2 linked regions of the Drosophila melanogaster genome follow. The protein of the gene in region 2 purifies or fractionates together with the protein of the main gene of each other region. This does not show direct contact. Each region holds a gene or a part of one and is shown on either strand. Other genes may lie near its edges.

Region 1 (12,098 bases), about 20 Mb from region 2:
TGCCCAGGCAGATGGGGCACTTAAGGACAGTTTGGAGGCAAAACGTAAGCTTAGTTCGTTCTTCTTGAAAACTTGCATTAAGTAGATCGATTTCGGCCACAGGACTATTGAAAAACTTGCAACGCTATGATGCGCCTATTAATTTGGAGGTCTGCGATGCATTGTACGAACTAAATCAGCTTGAGAACGCCAAAGCCGAGCTCCACGACAATACCCGCCTCTTTACTGGAAACAAAACTAAAATGTTCGAGCAGCGACTGGTGGTGGTACGATGGTGTTTCGGGTTGAGTTTGGGTTTCTCCTGATTTCTGGGGTGCTTCCAGGTGGACGAGAACATTGAAGATGCCTGTGGCCCTTCGATGACTCAGTACATATCGGACAAGGAGAAACTCATAGTGCACTTGAAGGAGGTACAGAACAAGTACAAGCCCGATACCAGGCCGCTTTGGAAAATTCTGAAGGAACAGGAGAAATGCGATGTCCTGAGCATTCCCGAAATCGAAGTGGGTATTATTGGCAAATTTGCAAAATTACCCTTACTGTTATAGGCCGTCTTACTAGGAAGAAATGCTTTCCCCCCTTGAAATTGCGAGGCGAAGTCGTGCTTTCGACGTGTTTAACCAGATGTTCATAGATAGGTCTTGGCATGATGTCATATTTCTCAAGCACGTTCGAAAGTAAAACCATTTGTGAAACTATAAAACATTGATTATAGCATATGTACCTACATTTTTGCCTTAGAAATCCAAACCTTCTCTTGAATCAGTGTAAGAACTCCACTGAGTACTTACAAACGCTTTCTACAAAGAAATATGACGAGATCAAAAGCTTTCTGGTGAGTTTGAGTGGTGAACCCGAATTATGAGTACCCAAATTGTCCCTAATTGTTTATTTCAGAAAATTCTGGAAGCCCGTAGCCCCATGTACAATATCCGATACCAAAAGTTCACAAACAAGAAGTTGATGGATAAGTTTCGCCAGGAATATCTTTTTCGAGTTCAGTACCAAACAAGACGAAACATGATTTCCGCACTGCGTAGTATTCGGTACCTTCGAAAAACCAAGAGTCTAACAGTAAGAATTTTGAATGAATTCGAACAGAGATTGGTTAAATGATTAATGGTTTTAGAAACTCACCAGTTACGTGGAGGAAGTTATGGGAGATTACGTGGTGAAAAAAACCAACAGGATTATGCCCTGGAAATTCGAATTCATCAACGAGGTGTACAATATTTTGGCGCTTGCCTACGTAGATCAGTACACGCTTCCGAAGAACTTTCGCTTTTCGGAGAAGAACGCACTGCTTCGATTGCTTCGCTTTCCTATGGACAAGTCAAAGGAAGTGAAACACTTCGTATTTGGGGATCGAACTACGCACCAAGGCTCGGAAACAGTAGATCCGGCCTTGACAAAATCACGGTAACTCGCAGTCGAGATAAAAATTCTATTTTAATTTATTTTGTTTTCAGTCTAATGGGAAACCGACTCGAGAACCGTATGAATTTCGCAAAGTACCCTATAGAGAAGTCCTACCTACTTCACCAAATGGCAGAGATTCATCTTAAATCACACAGGTTTGACGAATGCTGTTTTAGTGCCCGAAAGTCTATTGAAGGTTTGGTCCATTAGTGCTATACTATTAAACGGTTATGGAAATACCTATATATCTATCTTTTTAGAGGCAAAAAAATGCAATAGCTACATTTGGCAGTTTCTGTGCTACCTACTGATAATAAAGGCGAATGCTGCACTCCACAAAGTCGAGCGAACCAGTGAAGCTCTAGATCTGGCACTAAAAATTTCCAAGGAATTGAAAGAAAAGCATATTCATAACTTCTTGACTGCCTGTATACACTGTAATGAGGAGGAATTCATCGTGAAGAAGCAGAGCATTTTTGCGAATAGCCGGCGCGAAAGCGAAAAATCGGTGTATAGTTCCCTGTCCGTGCGCCATAGCAATTAGAGCTTTGTATTATTTGTATAACCAAAAATATTGATTAATAAATTCTCAGTGCAATTATAATAGTGTAGTGACCTATTAGATACCTATACTCAAGTACCCCTGCGTATTTGGAATTTGCATTCTTATTATCAACTTGCAAGCTCCTTCATGGCTAGATCGACTCGGCTACTGATCCTCTTTTAAAAATAATGCTTGTGTAACGTATATATTACACAAACATCGGGCTTACTTTTCACTAGTCTAAGCAAATTCTTGTCTTAATTTATAAAAATATAAAATATTTTGCAACACTTTAAAATATTTTATGGGAGTACAGATAATAAGTGCTCTTCTTTTTGCAGTGTTTTTATTTTAGTGTAACATACAACAGTTCTTCGCTTAAATCGATGGTTTTGATACTACAAATATTACACTGATGCTTTCTCTACCAGCTTGGCCATCATCTTCTCCTCCTTGGCCTTTCGCTTGGCCTCCTTCTGCTTCTTCTTGTCCTCCTTCTCTTTTTGCTCTAGCATTTCCTTAAAGCGTTCGTCGCGTGTATCCACCTTGAACCCGAAGTGTCGGCGCACCTCCTCTACCAGGCGTTCCTTGCGTTGTATGGCTGCCGCTGCATCCGCCTCCCGCTTAGCGATCTTCGCGTGCAGGTCCGCCTTCCACTGTGTCAACTTCTCCATCTTCTTCGCAATGTCCTCTTCACGGGCATTTATCCTTGCCAGCTCCTCTGCCTTCTGCGCGCGGTTCTTCTCCAGCATTTTCAGGAGTGTTTCTAGTTGCATAACCTGCCTGCTGTCTTTCTCTCCGTGGGAATCGAAGCAAATCTTGGGATTCACATTGCTCTGGGCCCCATACCGGCCGAATGCCTGTCTCTGGTACTTCTCGGTCAAATGAATCCAGGAGTGAGGTTCCTGGTATGGCAATTTGTTAAGGAGCACATTTTTGTGTTGTGGTTGCAGGCCGGATCTGTCCACCGTCTGGGGATATGTTGGTTCCACATCCACGTCGCCGACCAAGGAAGCCGGCAGTTCCGCTTTCGCAGCGCTCGAGTACTGGGCGCACGAGCGGAGGGCAGGAAGTCTGGTGACAACGCTTATCTTGCCTACATTCATTTTGAATTGTATTGTCTAAGCAAAATAGTTTATTAATTTCCAATAGAGATGAGAGAAAATCGATAGCGATGACACCAATGCTGGCAACTAAACCCTTTTGGAGCTAAATTCAGATATTTTTTAGGCCCCGTCAGAAAGATAAGTAATAGATATTAATTGTTGTGACAGTCTGGCTGCATCCCAGCTCAAGCTCTATATATTTCTTTTTTCCTTGCTATTTATTTCTATCAATTTGTAATTATCGTTTCCACGATTTGTTACTGACATTTTACTTGTCAGTTTTTATTCCGAAAATAGATTTCTGAGGCTTAAAATTATCATTTTTATGTTGTCAGCTCAAAATATAAAAGAAACATAAATTGATTATACATACGGGCGGCGCACAAGTGTACCCTTAATATACCAATCGTTATCGACAACAATGGTACGTGCACATATGCCCTAATGCAAAACTAAATTCTTGAAAGCGCGGAATTGCATTTAAAACAACTCGTTTTACTTAAGTTGAAATAAGCATTTGCTCGGATAAAAGCCTACGCCACGACATGGCGGGGGATCGTGCCTTAAGTTCCAAGCAATTGGCGGGGCGCATACATTCCGTGTACTGCAAAGATTTCGTGTAGGTTTATTTCCATCAAAGGCGCAAATTGACAATTTCGCGGCTCATTTGATTATTTCCAACAACAGATCCTACAGCGAGATCACATTCCATCCGAAGCACTACCTGAACGTTCTGACCGGTCCCAATGGCAGTGGCAAGTCCACCATCGTGTCGGCCATAATTTTGGGCCTCGGAGGGGAACCGATTCTCCTTGATCGCTCCGCCAGCGTTGCCGACTACATACAGAGCAACAAAACCTCGGCCACCATAATTGTCCGGGTGTATGGACGCACGCCCAACACCACGGAAACCTTTCGGCGCATAATAAACTCTAATGGCTTGTCTACCTTCTCTGTGAACGACAAAGACACCTCCAAGAAGAACTTTTTGGCTGCTGTATCCTCCTTTAACATACAAGTCAGCAATTTGTGTCAGTTCCTCCCGCAGGATCGGGTTCAGGTATGTCGTTATGTTGGCAATTCATAAATTACACACCTATTTATTGTAAACATACTGTTTCAGGACTTCTCCAAGATGAATCCTCAAGAGCTTTTGCTCAACACAATGTCCTCCGTGTGTGACGAAGACCTGATCAACAGCTTCAACAGTCTAAAGCAAATGCGCACAGAACAGGCGAATGTCCATGCTAATCGGGAAAAAGAGAAAAGTGATCTGGTTAAGAAGCAAAAACGATTGGAACAGTAAGATATAGTTACCCGAGCTTATTTTTATTCACTAAGTAAAATGTAACCAAATGTGTGGATGAAGTACAAAATTTTAATTCTTACTAAAAACCTAATTGTCTTAATATCATTTTATTAGCTTACAAATGACTGTGTCCCAATATAAAGAACGCGAAGAGGTCAAGCAAAAGCTGCAGGTGTACAGTGCGAAGAAATTGTGGGTTGAGACTCAGGCTGGAGAAGCCAAGGCCGCAGAAATGAAAACTCAAGTGAAAAACGCAAAAACTCAGAGCGACAAATTGAAGAACCAACATGACAAACTTCTTCAATCCCAAGAACAAATTGAGAAGGAAAAAGAATCACTCAGAAAGGCCTTATTGGAAAAGGTAATGGGTGGCAGTGTTTTTTAATATATTTTTTAAAAATAAGTTTTTTTAGACACGCTTATTAGAAAACGCTGTAGCGGAGAAGGCGGCTATTGATGGTAAAATGGACTCTTTGAAGCAAGGAATTTACCAAAAAAAATATGAACTGGAGGTTGGTGTTCTTGTTGCATATATCGATCATGTGAATAACTCTTAATCTTACATTCTGTCACATAGCAAAACATTAAAAAATCACGAAGAACGGCCACAGAGTGTGATAACCTAAATCAGTTGGTGGAGAATAAAATTTACGAGCTTGAAACCCTAAATAAGAGCAGGCCTCTGATCGTTTCGGAACTTGAAAGGGCTAAGGAATCGTGCGCAGCTGCCCGCGGGAAAGCAATGGAGCAGTACAGCAGACGGAGACAACTGGAACAAAAACTGAATGATGAAATGATTCCTGAAATTACTGCGTATAAACTTAAAATAGAGCGGTTGAGAAACGTCAAAATGCAAAAGATTGATGTAAGTTCTTACTGAAATAATGAAAACTCAACTTAACGCTACCTTTCATTTTAGGAAATTAGAGCAAAAAATCCGAATTTGGTTGTGGCCATGAACTGGTTGGCGCAAAATAAGCAAAGGTACAAATTGAACGTTTATGACCCAATGATACTTGAGGTGAGCTTTTCAAAATGAAGCCATTACCAATGGCCTAATGTTAAAACCGCTATCATAGCTTACAGTACAAAATCATGAGGACGCAAAGTTTTTGGAAAACGTTGTGGCGCAGCGCGATTTATTTGCATTTGCGTGTGAGGACAAGGGGGATATGTCGGACCTGATCAACGAGTTGTGTGTGAAGCAAAAATTGGGAGTTAACGTTATTTACTGCGCACCATCCGATAGACTCGTGTACAGTCCCAAAACTCCCATCGATGATCTGCGGTATGCACTTGTCAATTGTCCAATACTAGTCCAATACCTAGTTTTAAATACTTTTACAGCTCTTTCGGATTTCGGTCATACCTCGTGGATCTTGTCACGGGACCAATACCACTAATAAACAAGCTGTGCGCTTCCTATTCCATTCATAATATACCAATTGGCACAGAAGCTGTGGGCAATTACACTTCATCCATTCCAAAAGCTATCCGAGTTTATTTCGGCGGTGTGTATATTTTTCTTATTCGGTTTCGCTTCGCAAATGTATAAATTCTGATTTTGAATTCCGTACTGTGCATTTTAGGCAGCAAGAAGTTCGTTGTGACCGCATCCCGCTATCGGTCGGATACTATTCTAACTGAAAGTAGCATTCGAGCGAAGAACCAACTTATTACAGTGGACTCACAACAACTGGCCCTGGTGATGAAACAGTGCTCCGAAGCAGTGAAGGAAAGCGACAGCATTAAAAACGCAATAACCCAGACCGACAATGAATTTGAACGATTGCAAGCTGTTGCAAAGGATGAGCAAGAGAAGAGACGAAAGCTTGACCAAAAAATAGCCCATTTTAATAGCCTGAAAACCGAAATTGAAACGCTCCAAAAGAAGCTGGAAGCCCTGCGCAATAGCGATTGTAAGTATTTCTTAGTGCACTAAATATTCAGCCATTATGAACCGTGTTTTTTCAGCGCTAGACTGTCTTGAAACCAATTTTTGTAACAGTTTGCATAAAGACTTAAAAAAAATATTCGATGCTGATGCGGAATTGTGCTCGTGCTTGAAAGCTATTGACCGACTTATAATTGAAAAGAATATGGCCCAGACAAAGGTATCCATTTATATGCTGCAACATGAGACTCAAATTGAAGCCCTCAAGGAAAGCGAGGAACAGAGTAAAGCAGCAACCGTAAGGAAATCGAAATGCACTTAAGGAATTTATTTATAGGAATGTTTTGCTTGCAGAGAGACTTCCAACAGTTGCTGCAGTGCTTAGAAAATCAAATTAGCGACGTTAACAAACGAAAGAGCGCTATTCAGGGCCTTTGCCACGGAGAAATTCCAACCAGTAGCAAATTTCCTTTTAAGAAGGAATTTAGGGAGCTGGAAAATATAGATTTGCCCGAACTACGAGAGGCAATACATGACTTTCAGGCACGATTGGAGTGCATGAAAAGTGTAAACTCCGAGGTAAAACACTCTTTTAAATTAGTGAACTGAAGCTGATATATCTAATAACTTTCCATATTAAAATATGCAGGCCATCAGCAGCTATCAAGGACTGCAAAATGAAGTCAAGCAACTGGAGGAAGGAATTCAAGAGTCTGTTAACCAAGCAAAGAGCATCGAGTCTGGCATGTCCAATTTATACGACAAATGGGAGCCCAAACTTAATAGCTTGGTAGAAACAATCAGTACCAAGTTCAGCGAATTTATGGAGTCCATTGAATACGTGGGAGAAGTTGTGTTATCCAAAACCGACAAAGTGAGAACTTAAACTGTCCTACATAAAAACTTTACTTCAAATGTATTTCACTTTATTAATTCTAGTATGACTTTGACTCATATGGTATTCAGATAATGGTCCAGTTCAGGAGAGGTCTCCAGCTGCAGCCGCTGGACAAGTTTATTCAATCTGGTGGCGAACGCGCAGTGTCCATCGCCATATACTCATTGTCCTTGCAACATGTCACCCACGTGCCATTCAGGTGATTGCGGAACCCAGCTGCAAACTGACGCCCGATTTATAGTTCTCCATTTCTAGGTGTGTCGATGAAATAAATCAAGGCATGGACGCTACAAATGAACGTCACATATTCGACTTGCTCCTCAAAGAAGCCACCAAGCACGGCTCGGCTCAGTATTTATTTGTAACACCTAAGGTAAATATAAATGCTTATTCATTTAAATATTTAGTTAACTGTTTTAAATCTTCTTTGTAGTTGCTTCGAGACCTGAACTACAACGAACATCTCTGTGTTTCCATTGTTCACAACTCAAAAACTGTTTGCCATGGCATGCAATTCCCGATGGCTTAGACACTTTGGGTCATCCAGATTTACTATATGTATTTTTTTATATTAAACACTACAAAACATATCTATTGCATTTTGTCGAATGACCAGCCTTGTGGGGACTCCTTTTCGAACTGTTGGCCTACTCGGAATAAAATCTGTAAGCCGGTAAACAAGTCCAAAGGCAATGATGCCTGACGATTTGTTTTATCAGATTTCAATTTGTCCTCGATTTAAAACCCTACAACAGCACCTATATCTTATTTCATATGTGAAATGATTTTAACACTACAATGCGAATACTTTTAAGTAAAGAGATGCCTTTGTACATATGTTTTTTAAGTAATTGGATAAACTATTTTGGGATGTTAAAAAATATATTTATATTTATATATATATTTATATATATTTAGATATGCAATTTAATGCAAATCATTTCTTTACAGGGTTAATATTAAGCAAAGTATGTCAAAAGTATGATCCCTCGACGCAAACTATAAAAGTTCAGGTTAACTTCAGATAGATGGTTAGTTTTTTATCAGCTCCAAAGAAGTCGGGTTTTGATCGCAATCCGTGTGTGCCCTTATTATGGTTGGGATTTTTTAGATCAGCAGTTATTGCTATATAGCCATATTTATAAATCTTCTACTGGCCTACTAAGTCCCAACATAATGAGAGTAAAAACCACAGGTTCGACGTTCATGTGAAGATTAGAAAAATACAGACAAATATATTTCATAGTTCAAAAAAAGTTTTTAATGTCTATTTTAACAACTTTTGAGTACTCCAGATAGAGAAGCGCACAGATATTTAATATGATTGCAACGAACAGAATGGTGAGTTTCATAAAAGGGGTGTGTACAAGTTTTGAATACTGCCTTTGAAATCGCAGAATTGCAAAATTGCATTTTGGTCCCAAGAAAGAAAAGTTCAATTGGAAAATATGTTTTTGGCTAGTATTTTTGCTACTCATATAAATTGTAGTGGTAATCCCTAAAGTTCGATTCCGGACAGAGGGTATCAGTTCAGCCGCTTGTTGAGAGAAAACGGAATACCCCAACTTACTCGCAGTATATTTTGGTATTTTTCTAGGAGCTTAGGTTGTTTTTGCAATGAGCGGTCACTCTATTGGCAACCCTCAGACGATTGAAAAATTAAAATTAAAATTGAGCGTTTGGCAGGGAAATATGTATTCAAAGGCGGGATTTGTTCTAATTTTCGTGCTGGGTCTAGTGTCCAGCAGCTGGGTAAGTGTTAATCCCCTACGTACTGCACATAACGTGTCTAAACCAACGTTCTCTCAGGGATTCCTGGAGCATGACAGCTGGATTACAGTGGAGCTCCAGCACTCGCTGGCTGCAAACTCGGAAAGTTTCTCCTTCCGCGGGAATGTGACGATTCCCAGTCTCAACTCTGGTCTGGCCAATGTGGAGCAACCAGATCTGAGCACTGCCGATCTGGACTTGCTGAAGGTAACAGTGGTTCGGGCACATGGGCACGCCGGTAGGAAAATGTTCACCATTTTTCACCATCCAAGAGTGGTGTACTTAGTGCATCTTATGGAGTGGTTACAGGCGAATGAGGTGGCTAGATATTCGCTGAGTATTGAATATACTGCAGCATTAACCATTGTATTCTATAAGTGTAGAAATGCATTCAATTATATAGCCTGTTTGTTTCCATTTAGTTTTTAAAAAGATGCCTTGTCAGTTAAGTTTAAGCCTTCCTGTTGAACGTAATCTTAAAATAAGTATGCACTTAGTAATAACCCCTTTAACCTTTTTTAGAAACTGGCCCTTGGAAACGAGTTCTACCGTTTGAAGGCCACGGTGGTGTATTCAAATGGAGCTAAGGCGCAGTTCATCACTTCCAACAAGGCCTGTCGCCTGCTGCAAGCCCAATTGAATGACGTGCTTTGGGTGTCGCTCGAACCCTCCGGATACGTAACCGGCATCACTGTGTCCCAGGACACGGCCCCGGCCACTATAGAGTGCACCCAGGAAGACGTGAATAAGCTACTGGAAACGCAATTCAGCACCGATGTCCTCATCCGCCACGCTGAACTGGCCCCCGTGCCCGATACTGCTGGCTTTATTCAGAAGGTGGAGCGGGAGCGCGAGGCCAGGGAGCGCGGGGAGGTTCGGGATAACCGCGGCTTCTTTGCCAAATACGTAAGTACAAATACTTTGGCCTGAAATCCTTTATTACAAATTCACTTTTTTATTTTTAGTGGATGTACATCGTTCCGGTAGTTCTGTTGGTCTTCATTTCGGGAGCCACCAACCAGGACGGTGCAAAATAGGTTAACTGAGTGATGTGGTGTAATCTTTTGTTTGTTAGCTTTTTCTAATCACAATTCCTAGACAACTTTGGTTTTAGCGATTAAAGATTGAGTAAAATAAAAATGATTGAGACATTTTAAATTAAATATACACAGAAATAATGCTTTTGAGCTCCCAGAGGATTTCTTAAGAGTTGGCATAGGGTTTTGAGACCTCATATAAATATTTGTAATAGGATTTGCACCTGATTTTCGGTTCACATTGTTTTCGGAAATGGTGTGCAGTTTATTTTATTTATTTTATTATATTTTATTAATTGAATGCCTGCAAACAGCCGAGTTTTATTTGGTATGCTTATATTGTACTTTCAATTTGATAATTGAACGTTTGGAATTTTGCCGATATATTTTTCCTGGTTTTCGGATATTTCTGTTCCGTCCACACCGTGTAATCAAAATTTGAAATCACTTCAAATCTCTTCTTATATTAAGGTGTCAATTATTTTGAGTTTGTGTATTTCTCAATTTAAGACTGTTTCATGGCAAGCAAGCCATATTTTAGATGGTTTGGATGTATATCAGCCATGTGATTTGAACGTCCTGATCATTAAACCCTGCAAATAAGTTTCGGTTAAATTTGTGATCAAGGTAAGCAAATGTATACAAACCGTATTTCTGGATTTATATAGTTTTGTTTCTGGCAGACAATTCCCAGCTTATTCGACGCACTTCGTTGCTCTTACATATCAAGAAATGTTGCTCATATATTCAAAATCGAATGAGCTTCACATTTCAAAAATCAACACCTGGCAGAGAAAGATTTTCGAACTGCAAGAAATGCATTTGTAAAATGAATTTCAAGGGGCTCGAACAAATTATTCCGCGTCTGCTGCTCTTCTTAATGTGAAACTCCTTCGAGTTTGGGTATATGAACAACATTATAGGAAAGTAAAGCTGATCACGTTTGGGGCATCCTTGTTTGAATTTCTGAAGATTTTAGGGATCCTGGTCCAGATTAAGGTCAATTTTGTGGTTTTAAATATCTAAAAAGTAATGTACTTTCTGCATTATTTCCTTTGGATAAAGCTATTCGATAATAGAAACTGTCGGACCGTACAATATATGGGAAAAGTGTATCTTCGTTGCTATAATCATAAATAGTTCTAGTCCAATATTTTATTTATTTATTAGAGATGATAGTATAGTAGTTCAATATACACTAGATGTTTTAACCACATTTTGGGTTTAAATTTAATAACTACCATACTACCATAACCACCGACTACCATATAGCGCACACTTATAAACGGTCGGAAAATTAATTGATTCTTTATTTACAAATAGTATCCAGATAATCCAGATCCAGATTTTAACTAACGTATAATACAAGTGGAATATTTTTGAAAATGGGGAAAATGTACTTACTTGAAGCCATCTGAACTTAAATATATTTAATTTTTAAAATTGGTTTCCTCGATGTACATTTTTGTGGTGCCTTGTCGCTGAATTGTATCAAACTAAATATTTCTGTGATGCAAGGCTGAATTTAAAACATCTGCCTGCTTTGTTTTCCTTTTGGTGTTTCAGAAAGAACAAAAGTAAACTATGATATCTCTATGTTCGGTATTATATAGGTTATTCGAAGAGGAGTTTTCAAGTTATTTGGCCATAGTTTTAACAATCGTTTGAGGATTATATGCATATCTATTACTACTTTAAACATAACAAATGCGCTACGATGCTAGACTTAGTTTAGACGAATTAATCCAACTGAAAGTGCAAACCGTAATTAAGTGCCTTTTTACCACAAGTGACGGGCTATCCGTCGAGAATCGTGAATTACACGCTCGCTTAACCACGGACCACCCCGAAATTGACTGGAGTGCGATGCGTGCCGAGTGGTTGCAGTTCGAATTTGTAATTACAATTCGTGGCGCCTTGCCGGGGAAGTTCTGCTGGGGGAGCCCCCAGCACTGGCTGAAAACAATTTTCTCCAGGTTTTCTCCGTGGTAAGGGCGGCGAGGGCTACGTGACAATTTGCCAATACCCAAATTTCTCCGTGGACCAGGAACGCCTTCTCCGATGGCGTAAAAAACGAATAGCCCGTGGGCTTGTTTTTTACCCACGAGGCGAGCCAACATG
Region 2 (13,093 bases):
CGCTTAAAGAGCTTTAAATACAAATCAAATGTTTAATTTATTTAAATTATTTTTCAACTATAACATAATAATAAATTCTAAAAATGGATGAGCTAGGGGGAATCCTCGCTGGCATACTGCTCTTCCTGTGAGTTCTTCATCTGGCCCACGGTGTCGTAGAGCGCCACCAGCTTACGCACGGAGCTGCCAAGGTGCTCCACGCGATGCCTGTAGGCCAGGCAGCCCTCCAGAGCGCTGTATGTCTCCTCCCGCTGGTCACTGCTAGACATGAGCAGCTTGAAGTTCTCCAGGATCTTGGACAGGGTCATCTCAGCCTCCGGCCTGAGGTTGTACATCTTCTGGGTCTCCGACAAAGCCACATTCTGACTGAATGCCTTGCTGTTGGACTCGATGTGGAGCAATGTGTTGTTCGACCGCTCCATTATCTCGTCTATCTTAGCCAGCTGGCGGTTCATGGTCTGCCGATTGGCCGCTGAAATTGGAAGCACGGAATAGAACGCGTGTCGGTGGTTTAAAGATATATTTACCCATTCCCGCCAACATTTTGTCCACAGCGTCTGACATTTCGAATATTCTGTTTGTAATGCTAGCAGATTAACGTGACCGTCGCTGCGTATCTAAAATACACAAGGCTTTCTAAAACAATCGAAAGACCAACGTTTCTATCGAAATTTAAATTTAACCGCCAGTACTAAATGACTCGTTTATTTATTTGGATAGTTAATTTATTAGCTGCTATTCCGCAGTTAATTATAGCCCTCGTGTACAATTGCTGACTACAAGTTAATTTAACGTTTGGTTTATTCAGTTGATCAAATTGTATTTGACTTGTTTTCTATTTAAATTTAAGTGTAATCCGTTCAATGGCTTGCATTACAATTACAATTTACTCGTACACATCCTCCTTGTCGGCGACGTACTTAATAATGTCGGCAGGTTTAAGCAGCTTCTCGGCATCAGAGTCGGGGATCTCGAAACCGAACTCGTCCTCCATGGCCATGATGACCTCCACGTGGTCCAAGGAATCCAGTCCCAAGTCGTTGATGAAGTGCGACTCAACGTTGAGCTGTAAATGCGAGCCATTAGCATTGGGTATTCAAAGGTTTCATCAGCTTTGTTCAGTTCTGATTTCTGAGGCGACCATTGCACTGGCAAAGGCAATATGTGGCGTTTACCTTGCTGGGATCGATCTTGTCGTAGAGCTTGAGCACAAGCAAGACGCGCTCATTGATCAGCTTCAGCGAGAGCGGCGGTTTCGCCGAGTATCTGCGCACCAATTGCGTTTGCCAGCGACCACGGCACTCCTGGTTTTTGGCCGGCCCGAGAAAAAAAGGAAGGAAACAAAGACCGGATTAGTGGCGCCATGCAATGGGTACTTTACCTTTTCGGCGGTCACTTTGTCGTAGGCGGAGACAACCTTTAGCACGCGGAACTTGATGTCCTCGATGGTGCTCTTGGCCGAGTAGCTGCGCACACCGAACTTCTGCGAATGTTAATGTCTAGTGAATTTTCGTCTCTATATGAATAATTGCATTGGTAGTTCATCTACGACTTATGGTGCATACAACTTAGCTAATTCTTCAATGAGCAGTGTAAATATATACGCAATTTAAACGAGGGTGGTTCGATGGTGTATGATCAACTGATTAAATACCGCGAAAACTATTGCTTGGATTGGCGTGGAAACATATTTAGATATTTAACAAACTGAAATCACATGTTTTAAAACCGCTACATTTTAAGGTCACTTCTAGAGGATTTTCACTGTAGTACAATCAACCGCACACAAGTGCGAGCACCGGTGTTGCAGGTGTATGTGTGTGTGTGTGCGATAGGGAAACAATCATGTTTTATGCAAAATAATGTGATGCAATCGAATTGGGTGGTTCGACGGCCACATGGCGAGGATCTTCTGTTGCGTTCATGATTGCAAGCACTTAATTGAATGTTTTGAAACTCGTAGATCACGAAACCCCGCCGTTTGCGATGAGGTTAGGTCCTCAACTGCGATTGGGGCTCCTGCAACGGAAGGGACCGCTTTGGACGTTCGCTTACTTGGCTCAACTGGCTGGTCATCGATGGCACGGCGATCCTGTGCATCATCCTGGAGGCCTGTGATTGGATGAGAATGCCGGAGGCGACCCTCCTTGGGGCCAAAGTGGCCGCCAGTCGACTGCAGCTGCGCGCGATCTGTGTGAACGACATCTCGGTTCTCCTGCAACGGAAACGCAGCGGGTTAGTATCGCATCTCTGCAGACGGTGCACGAGTGCAGGTCTCGTATTTTGGGCGATATTTACGCTGAGTTTTCAAGATTATGTAAAAGTGCTGGAGCAAGAAAAAGACAGCAAGGTAGCAGTGTGACCGTATGCGCAATGTACTAAGCTGTTTCTCAACTTACGCAAATAAATACTAAAAATACTTAATACTTGAATAATGAGTAAGTAACTTTCCCAACTATAATTTACAGTTAAATAATTGTTAGTGGTATATTAATTCACATGAATTTCAGTAGTAACGTTAGCTGAAATCTTCTTTTGTGAGTTGGGCACGACTTTAACGAGATTTTTAAAGTCTGGAGCACCGAACTGACGTTTCAAAGCAAAGTTATCGACTGCTGCTTTTGCCAATCGAGTGGGCGGTTCTTTTTGAAAGAAACGATATAAGAGACTAGAAAAATTGCCACGTTTCCTCTTTGAAAAACCACAAGTTAGTGATAAGAACCCAATTCATATACAAATTGTAATATATTTATATGTATTTTTAAACAATATACATTTAGTTGGAACATTAGTCATATAAAATCCGAATACACAACTCTCAGGTGCTGCAGTAACAAAAATACATAGTTACACTATAAATTACACGAATATAACAAAACAAGGTCGTTTGATTTAAAGCCACTTTTCTGAAGAAAGTCATAGTAAATTCCTTATTGCGTTCCAATCTGAAAAGAAATATTTGGTGTGTGAGGTCAGCACGATAATGGGCGTTTCCTCATGAGGAGCTGGAGCTCGCACTACTTACGATAACTAGATGGCCCTTATCACGAACCACTCCGGGCTCGGCGCCGGTTTGGATGTCGATGACGCCGCCCTTGCCCTTGACTACGTTGTGCTCCAACCTGGAAACGAATGCAACACTTAGTCAAGAGAAAACCACTGGGATAACCGATGTGCAACTTACGAATTTCTGTCCACAATGGAGACGATGGAGGCAGTTCCCACGGTGTCAATGATATACGTGCTGAACTCGATTATGCGCGGAATGATCAGAATCAAGTCGCCCTTGTCCTTTTTCAGGTCGAGCGGTATGCGGATGACCATCAGGTCGTCGTTGTGGTTCGTCAGCGTGAAGTCGATCTTGTCTAGCGGCAGGCGGTGCTTCTGCTTGTAGGTCTTGCCGTCGAGGACATATATAGCCTTGTTGCTCAGCAGGATAAAGCGGTCGCGGGACTTGTAGCCGTGCCGATCGAACTTGGTGCAGAAGGACTGGTACTTAAGCTGCTCGCTGCCGAAGGTGCTGGCCACGAAGTCGTTGACTCGCTGGATGTGCTCCTTGGGGATGCGGTCCTCCTGGAACCAAGTGGACACACTGCTCGCGTAGTTGTTCTTCTTGCCCTTAAAGACCTTCTCCGCCAGGACCTTCAGCTCGAATTGCCTCTTCTGCTGCGGCGTCAGTTTAAGGCGGTAGATCCTGGCCAAGTGGAGACGGTGCAGGCGGTGAAGGATGCCGGAGGCCTCCTCGCAGTGCCCAGGGGCATGGGGCCAGCTCTTATCCAGTACCTTGGTGGGCAGCTCCTTCGCCAGTCGAAGCAGCCACATACGCTTGGCGTTGGCAATAAACTCTTCATTGAAGCCATTCGGGGCATCGTTCCGGGTGATGAAGCCCTTGATAAAGGCACGAATCTTATCGGCGGCCTCCCTGCGCTTCTTGGCCGCCTGCTGTGCCAACTTTCGGCGACAATAGCTCTGCATTATGATCACCTGAGCACGCAGTTTCAGATACTTCCTCCTTTGCATCAATCCCTTCCAGTGGGCCTGGATGATGGCCGCTATCTCATGTTTCTTCTCCTGGTAGGCATCCTCCGTATCGAACAAGGTTCTCGGCCAGCGGATGAATAGTTTCGTCTCGCCCACCCTGTACTTTTCCTCGTCCCAGCCCAAATCTTTCACCAGCTGCTGGACACCCGCTTTCGGGCCACCGGGACCCTTGTAATTGGGCCAGGTGGACTTGCTCAGGGACTTGTAGCGCTCCAGGAAGAGCTCATACGTTCGTCGGTAGGCGAAACCAGCTCGCCTCACACGCAGATTCTCCATCAGGCCAAGGTACTTGACCTGGTGCAGTACCAACTCATCGTTGAAGACGTTGGCAGTCTGCAGGTCGTTTGGCTTGATGCAGCGAATGTAGCTCGGCTCCTTGCACATCAGAATGTCCATGAGGTTGTTAAGAGATGCCCGGAACTGGGTGATAGCCGTCTCCGGACGCTTCAGGCTGCGCAGCTCCTTCTCCGGGAAGCAGTTCCTCACAATGCCGTTGCCAGCCTTGCTGAGGGTCTCCTTTAGATCCCTGAACAACAGGTCGTTGTTCTTGTCCAGGAATCCATTGACACTGTAGGTGACCTCGCCGGCATAGTGCACCAAGCGGAACTCATCGCGCAGCATGATTTTCTTGATGTGGGCGGGCGCCTTTTCGTGGCAAACGTAGTGGTGGTGCTGGGCCAATTTCTGGGTGAGCTTCTCAAGGAAGGTCTTATCCGTGGGCTCTCCTGGTCGCAAGCACTCCTCGTCCAGTATGGAGATGATGCCCTTGTGCTTCTCCTCGATCAGATTGCAAATCACCTTGTTGTCGAAGTACTCCACAGGTATCCACTCGATGCCCTCCCGGCGGTATTCATCCTGCTCCGACTTAAGGGTAAGCTCGATGAACAGCTGCTGCAGCTTCTCGTTGCAGAAATTGATGCAGAACTGCTCAAAGCTGTTCTTCTGGAAGATCTCGAAGCCATAGATGTCCAGAATGCCCATCACATTATTTCTGGATGCCCGCGTTTCCTTCGCCTGCAGCGAGATGTTGAGGCGCTGAACCAGCCAGGAGAACAGACGATCATAGACAGCCTTGGCCAAGGCGTCCCTGGCATAGATGGCGAGCTCCTGGTTCAGTGGTGAGGTCACCACATCTCCCCGAGCGTCAATTGTGCGGTGCGTTAGGGCGGCTTCCAGTTCGCTTGCGTTTACACCCAGCAAACGAGCAGCGGTGACTACCAGATCCCTGCTGTTCACCTTGGCATTGCCCTCCACCTCAGTGAAGCCAACGTTTCCTAGATGCAGAATGCTGGCCACGATTCCGAAGATCTCGCGCTGCTCCTCCTTGGTGAAATCGATCACAGTGAGAGCCTGCTGGACCTGCTTGAAGCTGTCCGCATCGTTAATTCTCGTCACGGTGCCATTGAGCTGTGGATTAGAACTCGAAGATCAGAGACCAATTGTCAATACCCTCCAGGCTGCCCACTTACCCCATCTGTCAGGTAGCTATAAGTGTCCAGAGCCCGCTCCAGGCGCAGTTCCTGCAGAAGGGCCTCGTCGGCGCCGGCCAAGAGTTGGTAGAAGATGTGGAAGTTGCGCTCGCCTCCCATTTGAGCCACCACTCGCGACTTTTCCAGCAGATAGTTTAGGATGTTGCCTCCGATCGGAGCTCCTTTGAAATCGAACTGGATGTCCATGTACTTGCCGAACCGCGAGGAGTTGTCATTGCGGTTTGTCTTGGCATTGCCGAAGGCCTCCAGCACGGGATTGCTCTTTAGCAGCTTGTCCTTGACGCCCTCGACGGTCGTCTGGTTGCCGGAGCAGGCGGCTATGAACTGCAGCACCTTCTTGGAGGCCTCTGTCTTGCCGGAACCACTCTCTCCGGAGATGAGCACGCACTGGCCGCGGTTCTCCTCGATCAGCGAACGGAAGGCGTTGTCAGTCACCGCAAAGCTGGACAGGAATGCTCATTATTTGGTGGTTCAATGCAACTTGGTCTTGAGACTCACATGTGTGGGGGCATCTCGTAGAAGTGCTTGTTTCTGTACGCCTTGACATGGTCATCGGTGTAGATGGGCAGCTGCTTGTAGGGATTCACGGAGATCAACACCTGGCCAATGTAGGTCTGCGAAAGGGGATATCGTTATCATTATTTTGACCTATCTTCTTTAACTATTTTTACTCACATAGATCAGGTCCTCCTGGAACCGCTTCTTCAGATTCCCGATGAAGGCTTCTTCGCTCTGGTAGTTCTCGAGGAGCACAAAGTCCTGGACTCCAGCACGATCACGCTCGTGCAGGCCCGTCTCCATTTTCAGTTGGGAATTAAAACTAAAGCAAAGAAAGGGGTTCACATAAGCATCAAAATGATTCCTTAAATACAGATCCCACAGAAACGATTGGTGCTTGCTTCATTGTTAATTTTTCAACTTCCTAAGAAAATCCTCTTCATAGGTCTTATCTTTGACGAACCTAATCGGACTGCCCAGCTGAAAGGGTTGCCATGTTTAACCACCTTGATTAGGAAAAACCTCTTGAAAACCAATTCAGAAAAGCCCCATAGAAAGCCGAAACCCCAAAGATAAGATTTTCGCTATTCGACAATATTTTATAACAGTCCTGCGGAAATGAATCAGGCAAATGATAGTGACTCGTGAATGTGGATATTGTTGATCAATTCCAAATGATCTCATCAGACATATCCAATATAATATTCTATATGAGTCCCAATGCAAATACCCAATCTGGGGTATTTATAGATCCATAGAAGTAATGGTGGGCAGGTGCAATTCACCTTATCAATGCCATATTTCATGGGGCCAAGGGAAGTGGGCAAGTGGTAAGAGTTTGCTTTATTGGACGACTGCTCCAGTTCTGCTGATACGCGGCGGGTAAAACCATAAAAGAAACGATTATGCAATGGATTTGTGACTGGTAGGATTTCTAAGATTCCTAAGAAATGCTGGTCATATAACTGTGGGATTATCCAAGGACACTTCACTAGGTCACTGAGTAAACAATTGCACATCTCTAGATGGATTCTCTTCAAATCACGCTTCTTCTACCTGGCCATGTTTGTTCGATTCTTCTTGTTCCACAACACTACTGCACAAACACCACTGATAGCTCCAATTGATGATTCTCTGGAGGATGTGTCAGATTCCGCGCATATTCCGCCCTTTGACGGCTCCGTTGGCAAACTAAACCGATCCGCTGGCAGTTGAGGCGTTTTAACCATCAATACTTCTCCTCTCCACATATCAATTGGCCTCGTCGGAATTTGTGTTGTTCTTTTTTTTTAGTCGGCACATTTATCAACGATAATATACCTATGACTGCGATGAGGAGGGCAATGCCGCCAATCAGTCCCCGATTAGATAGTGCCTTTCGCGAATAAACTCGGGACCCGATTTAGGAGACCATGACAGAAACGCAGCGCACCAAAGAATTCCGGATCGGCTGTATTCCGGAGTTCCAAGTACCTGAGATCACGATACGTCTTTTTCGCATGCGTCAATCCTAAAGATATATGCGTTCCCATCTCCCATCATTCCGAGCAACCCAATGTTTTCAGTTGATTCATAATGTGGTTCCTCCTAGCTACGCGAACCAGTTTCTTGGTTTTTAGATAACTAATCAAGAATTATTCTATATGATTTATAATCTATTCACTTTCTTTATCTTAGCACTGCTTACTCTATGTAGTCCTTAGTATCCATTATTGCGAAGATCAAGGATTTGATTTCAATGTACATAAGGAATTCCTTTACTTAGTTCTTGCTCCACAATTAGCTAATTTCATAAACTTGCTTCTCCAAAATGTAAATTATAACTTAATGCTTTCAAGATTTCTAGATGACTGCCGCGCTTTCGGGACATTTCTGAGTGAGTCAGAGCTCGAAACTCACAACCCCGACTCAGAAAAGTGCTCCAGCTCACATTAGCACTGTGTTATCAGCTATCAGTGTGCTAAATAATAAGTCATTGCCGAATGAAAACATTGTAAGTACACACACTAGATTGCAATTGCCTCCACCGCCACTATTGTGTGTTTCCATCCACTCTGCGCCACTTGGAAGGGGATTTGCTGTGTGGAACTGGAACGAATGCCTGACTAATTGCGAAATGTTTGCCGGGAAGACTTCCCAGGAATTCTCGAAGAGACCGGCAGACACGTCCCAGTCGTTGGAGCCGAGCTCGCCGTGATTCGATGTTTGTCACATAATTGTTTAATTGCACGTAGGGCAGATGGAAGTGGATATCGATCATGTCGAAAACCATATACGAATACATCACCCAATGGGCACAGCCATTTGCAGTCATTCTGCAATCACTTTAGCACTTTTGACAAACCAACCATCGCCTAAGATTATGCTACGTCTATTTAAGGAATCCACAAGTTGGAGGGCAGGTGAGTGCAGATCTCATGGAACTGTTTGGGATCCAATTGACACGAGTATATGTTGTATGATAAGAGAGTTGCCAAAGTTGACTGGGTGGCGGGGCAAGCCTCTACAGATACTTTCATGATTAGATAAACTAGCTGGGGGATATAAAATGAATTAAACTGTAAATATTAATGAGTGTGTAGTCATTATAATTATACTTTGCTCAATATCCCTGCAATAACACGGTTTCTCCCTACTATGAAGTCATTGACTTTCTGTTCCCTGGGGGCGTTGCTTTTGTCGGCTTGATCCACTCTTTCTTTAATCCCCATTCAGCGGTCTAATAGAGTGGGGAACTGGTTTCCCGATCCAGAAATACTCCAACGGGTGATGTAACAGAGAACTCCACATTTTGTTGTATCAGACGACTCGTAAACATGTCTACGACACACGACCTATAACGGAACCCAAAAACCATGAGTCCCACCCAAACGAAAAAGTTCCTAACCCATTAATCGCACACCGAAAGAAATAGTCGAGCATTAAGAATAGGAAACCAAGAGGCAGAGGCTGATTTGCTTTGTAGCGAGATGGAGAAATACATTCGTAAAAAGTAAAGATAAGTTCTAAAGACGGAAACTCAACGATAATACAATAAGTTCAAGGGCACATATTTCCAAAAAATTTGTTGCCAACTCAAGAGCTTTGCTGAATATTTTTTTGTTCAGTGGCATGACCAACCTTCATCTGCATTCAAATGTCGTCATATATCAAGCAGCAATATCGCGGGATATTGAACTCTTCGAATTCATTTGGAAAAATGCAGGGCTGGCAGAACGATCATGGAAGTGGAATGAGAAGTGGAAAGATCCCACAAAGCCCCTACAAGCATTTATATCATATGCAAATTAATGAGCGCAGTTATTAGAACGGTGCTTGATCGATCCGAGATCGAGATCGAGTTCGAGCTGGAGCTGGAGCTGGGGATGGAGATGGAGATGGACACAGAAGAAAGAAAGGCATCCCAAATTTGGGCCACTGCATGGGTTATTCTAATGAGGAAACCGGGAACGAGATCCCACACATCTCATCACAGATGCACCGCGTATAAAAGGGCAATGCAACTGGAGTGGTCAGGTTATTCCGAGAGAGATCATGGATCGGAGAGTGACTGCGATTGGTTTGGGTGAGTACGGACGATCGGCTGCCTAGAAAGAGTGACACATCCTTTTCAGTTATCCTGCAGCTGCTGGTCAGCGGCCTCTGTTTCCAGGAGAAGGCGCCACTGCAGACGAGCCTGGTCAGCGGACAGGCCAGGACCGAAAAGCAGCAACAGGTGCTGGACGATCCGCTGGGAAGTGGACGCGGGATTGACGAGCACCTGCTGAAGACCATTGGTAAGGGCGGCATCAAGCTGGTGATGGCCTCGGGAGCCCCGTCGACCACCCCGAAACCGTCAGTACAACACCATTACTATTATCCACCAGAGGATCAGCAGCACCCACGGCAGTATGGCTATCCACCGCAGTGGTCGCCAGGACCGCCCGCTTATCCGCCGCCACCGCAGCGTCCTTGGGGGCCACCCCCTCCGCCCGGACCACCGCCGCCAGGACCTCCTCCTCCGCCGGGACCCTACTACAATCCCTACTACAATGGCTACAACTACTACGGCGGATATGGCGGCTATGGATATGGGGGCTTTGGATATCCCGGCTTTGGCGGCTATTCTGGCTATCCCTACTATCCCTTCTATCGCTCCTCGACGGCTGGCGAGGTCGATAACCAACTTCCCGGTGCCGATGGACTCACTTCCGCCGCCATTCCTGGCGTTTTCCAGGGCAGGGCCGTGCTGTCCCACCAGAACTTCCTCGACGGCAGGAACAACGCTAACGTTGTGCCACTTTATCACCTACTCCAAATGGCCAGGGCTTGAAGTACTCTAATCCAATCATTGATTAAAACTTAATAAATTGTGTACCATGTATATTCCGAGTAACCGCGTGATGCATTGTAGTTCTTACTTATCATCGCATGCGTTCTAGTTTATAGCCCTATTCAATATCTAATCGATTCTGACTGGATAAATGTTTAAAGAAATCGTCCAACTGAAAGCCCATAATAGTAGAAACAGAATTGCAGAAAGGAGAAAGGCAGAAGGTGTTTCTATTAATCCACTCGAGATTGACGATTACTTAAACCCTGATAATAGCTTTGCCAGATCATCCAACTGAATGGATCGTTAGATTATAAAGAACCCAGTTGAGGCCGCTGACCGAGAGTAAAGATGATCGAATTCGTTCAAACGATCGTCATCATCGTCATTTCTCGCACCCGCAAAGACTGGAAATTCAAATTCAAACTGGGCAAACTTATCGAGCCGGTTGCAAATACATATGTATATAAGAGAATCTGGACGCTCGGTTGCTGAGTCACCCGCTTTTAGGGACGAGTCTTCTGGGCACGAGGAGATCTCGAGGAGATCACGCCGCCATTGTGACGCATGCCAAGTGCCTGGGTCTCGGTCTCGGATAACCATTAAGTATTAAACAATCACTGGGGCCCGCTGTTTTCTTAGCTCACTGCGAGCCATAAAAAGCGTCAACAGCTGAGGCCGATCTTGAACGCGATTTACTGCCAATTGCAAAAAAAAAAGAAAAAATCTGCTGAAAGAGCTGCCCAAAAGCGTTTCGTTTTGTTTCGTTTTTGCCTTTCCTACTGTTTTGGCCGCTTCAAAACAGACTTTTTGCTCGTACTCACGTCGAATAAGAGTTTGGAGTTTGGGATTGGGGCTTCCACGAAAAGCCCTTACTTGGCACTTTACCGAACCTGAGCAAATCCGAGGTGCGATGTAATGGTGATCCCAACACGAGCTCACTCAAGCTCACTCCTCCGTCGAAAGAAATGGAATGGAGTGGAAGTGCTGGCTCCGTGTTCTTGGTTCCTCGCCAGTCGAACTTTATGACTAGTGGGGATTTTTGCTATAATTGTACTTGTGCCATACAATTGATTGAATGGGGCATATTGCCACATGGCCAATTACCGCTTTATTAAGGTGGATCAGCAGTTTCTCAGCCAGGATACTACAGATAATAGTAGAATGCCGTCAATATTTGTAATTTAAAAGGTGAAAATGAATCGTAACTTCTTTAAGAGATCGTATCTTATACATCTTTAAAGAACAATGTCTGAATGAATCCATTCACTAGGTAAGACCAGGTCATTCTCTACTCTTCCAAGTGACACATCTGCCCATTCATAAAAGAGGGCATACCAATTGTCGACCAGACCTCCACATCTTTCGTGGAAAAGCGATGTGCTTCGATGGACGTTTACGACAATCGCTTGTGGTCTTTTGTCGATTCAACTTAATTTTCGTATCTTATCTTATTAGACATTAATTAATGTCATAATGCAGCTGGCTAAGAAGAGGTAAAAGCACCCTGTATGTACATATGTAGAGCGTACACGATCAATATCATATCAGTAAAACTGGTTGAACCCAGCGAGAAGATAACGCCACCGATTCCGATAAGAGAAAGTTCAAGTTTGTCATCAGGCCGCGATTTCGAAATTTTTTCAGGTGGGTGCGGGTCGCCGTTTCCCCTAGACACCAGGTTATGCTATATTTCGAATATTCCGTGGACTCCATAGAGTCAAATGGGCACATGACAAGGCTGGGCGATAATAAATATCGCAATTACCCGAACCAAAAGGCGTGCAATTTTATTTCCTTCTCCGGTTCTTCGTTTGTTCTCTTGGCCTCTGGGTTTGTTTGCCAAACGGTTAGTTCGCAGAAAGTTGGCATTACATCATTACCAAAATTCGGGTTTTCGTGATACGCTTGGTTTTCCAATTCGTTTCTTTTGGGTGCCAAGTGTGAGGCAATGACATTGGGGGCAATGCTTTGTGCACTCGAAAAAAGGTGTTCTACAATCGCCTCTAGTCTAGCTTCAATACCATTAAGTACTTTAAAAGTGAGCAGATCCCAGATATTTTAAGACTACAGGTAGGTATTTGACAATATTATTATATTGTTGCGAGCTTGTATTTGAACAGCTGCCAGATTTGGCGAATCATTCGGTTTCGTTTTCGATCCATTGCAGTTGGTTATTTTTAAGCGGCTTATTGCCGCTGTTTTCAAAACTGGGTCAAATTAATGGAGGGCCGTCGCAGTGTGGAAACGAAATTGAAATTTGATACAATTTCAATTGGTCAGCGAGTAGGCAAGCGGAGCAAGGGGATACATCCCCGCCAGCTATATCCACCGATTACTCATGTCTCCCCCATAGCCAAACACATACGCCCTGTTGACCCTCTTTGTGTGCCCCGCCTGTTTGTTCCTGCTATAAAACCTGGGCAAACAAGCTCATCCCCGGGGAGCGAGGGACAGGTGAACCCCCCCAGCCAGTTTACAAATATCCTCGCAGACGATGTGTGGAGTGAAGACCCAGGAAGCGAACGGAGGAGCGAGCGAAGCGGCGAAATTGAGGTGCCGGTGCCTAAACGCTCGCTTTATTAGAGGAGCATCACAATAAACCAGATCTCTTCGATTGCGGTGGCTGCTGCACTGGGAGAATCATCTTCCCATATTATTTATTATTTCAAAGAACCGATCATGAAAAAGCACCCTTGATTATCATTGAAAGTTGTTAGGAAAGTTAGAAACTGCGTAAACCATTTGCATT

What was found.
Region 1: the proteins of Myo61F (region 2) and SMC5 purify together in Drosophila melanogaster (affinity purification with western blotting, with the first as the bait; one study listed by BioGRID). This does not show direct contact.

What each region holds. Positions count from the first base shown.
Region 1 is NT_037436.4:21,565,765-21,577,862, forward strand, and holds SMC5 (structural maintenance of chromosomes 5), read left to right. Parts: upstream 1-3,487; 5' UTR 3,488-3,614; coding exon 3,615-3,688; intron 3,689-3,756; coding exon 3,757-4,129; intron 4,130-4,192; coding exon 4,193-4,371; intron 4,372-4,492; coding exon 4,493-4,739; intron 4,740-4,791; coding exon 4,792-4,890; intron 4,891-4,955; coding exon 4,956-5,243; intron 5,244-5,297; coding exon 5,298-5,399; intron 5,400-5,457; coding exon 5,458-5,666; intron 5,667-5,725; coding exon 5,726-5,889; intron 5,890-5,967; coding exon 5,968-6,297; intron 6,298-6,352; coding exon 6,353-6,570; intron 6,571-6,626; coding exon 6,627-6,851; intron 6,852-6,921; coding exon 6,922-7,146; intron 7,147-7,211; coding exon 7,212-7,369; intron 7,370-7,425; coding exon 7,426-7,543; intron 7,544-7,603; coding exon 7,604-7,699; 3' UTR 7,700-7,759; downstream 7,760-12,098. Other genes in the region: CG7634 (uncharacterized protein), read left to right, coding at 1-44, 103-266, 324-503, 562-677, 742-835, 898-1,074, 1,130-1,419, 1,470-1,615 and 1 more; CRIF (CR6-interacting factor), read right to left, coding at 2,371-3,069; EMC10 (ER membrane protein complex subunit 10), read left to right, coding at 8,863-8,922, 8,980-9,147, 9,463-9,846, 9,906-9,977.
Region 2 is NT_037436.4:1,319,253-1,332,345, reverse strand, and holds Myo61F (myosin 61F), read right to left. Parts: upstream 7,784-13,093; 5' UTR 7,776-7,783; coding exon 7,717-7,775; intron 7,230-7,716; exon of another isoform or gene 7,094-7,229; coding exon of another isoform or gene 7,086-7,093; intron 6,352-7,085; coding exon 6,207-6,351; intron 6,146-6,206; coding exon 6,030-6,145; intron 5,974-6,029; coding exon 5,511-5,973; intron 5,449-5,510; coding exon 3,185-5,448; intron 3,123-3,184; coding exon 3,026-3,122; intron 2,946-3,025; coding exon 2,931-2,945; 3' UTR 2,729-2,930; downstream 1-2,728. Other genes in the region: msd1 (mitotic spindle density 1), read right to left, coding at 93-472, 528-564; ND-ACP (NADH dehydrogenase (ubiquinone) acyl carrier protein), read right to left, coding at 887-1,066, 1,176-1,304, 1,397-1,483, 2,056-2,205; CG9184 (uncharacterized protein), read left to right, coding at 9,564-9,594, 9,644-10,341. UniProt on the Drosophila melanogaster protein: Unconventional myosin that functions as actin-based motor protein with ATPase activity. Binds to membranes enriched in phosphatidylinositol 4-5-bisphosphate, and can glide along actin filaments when anchored to a lipid bilayer.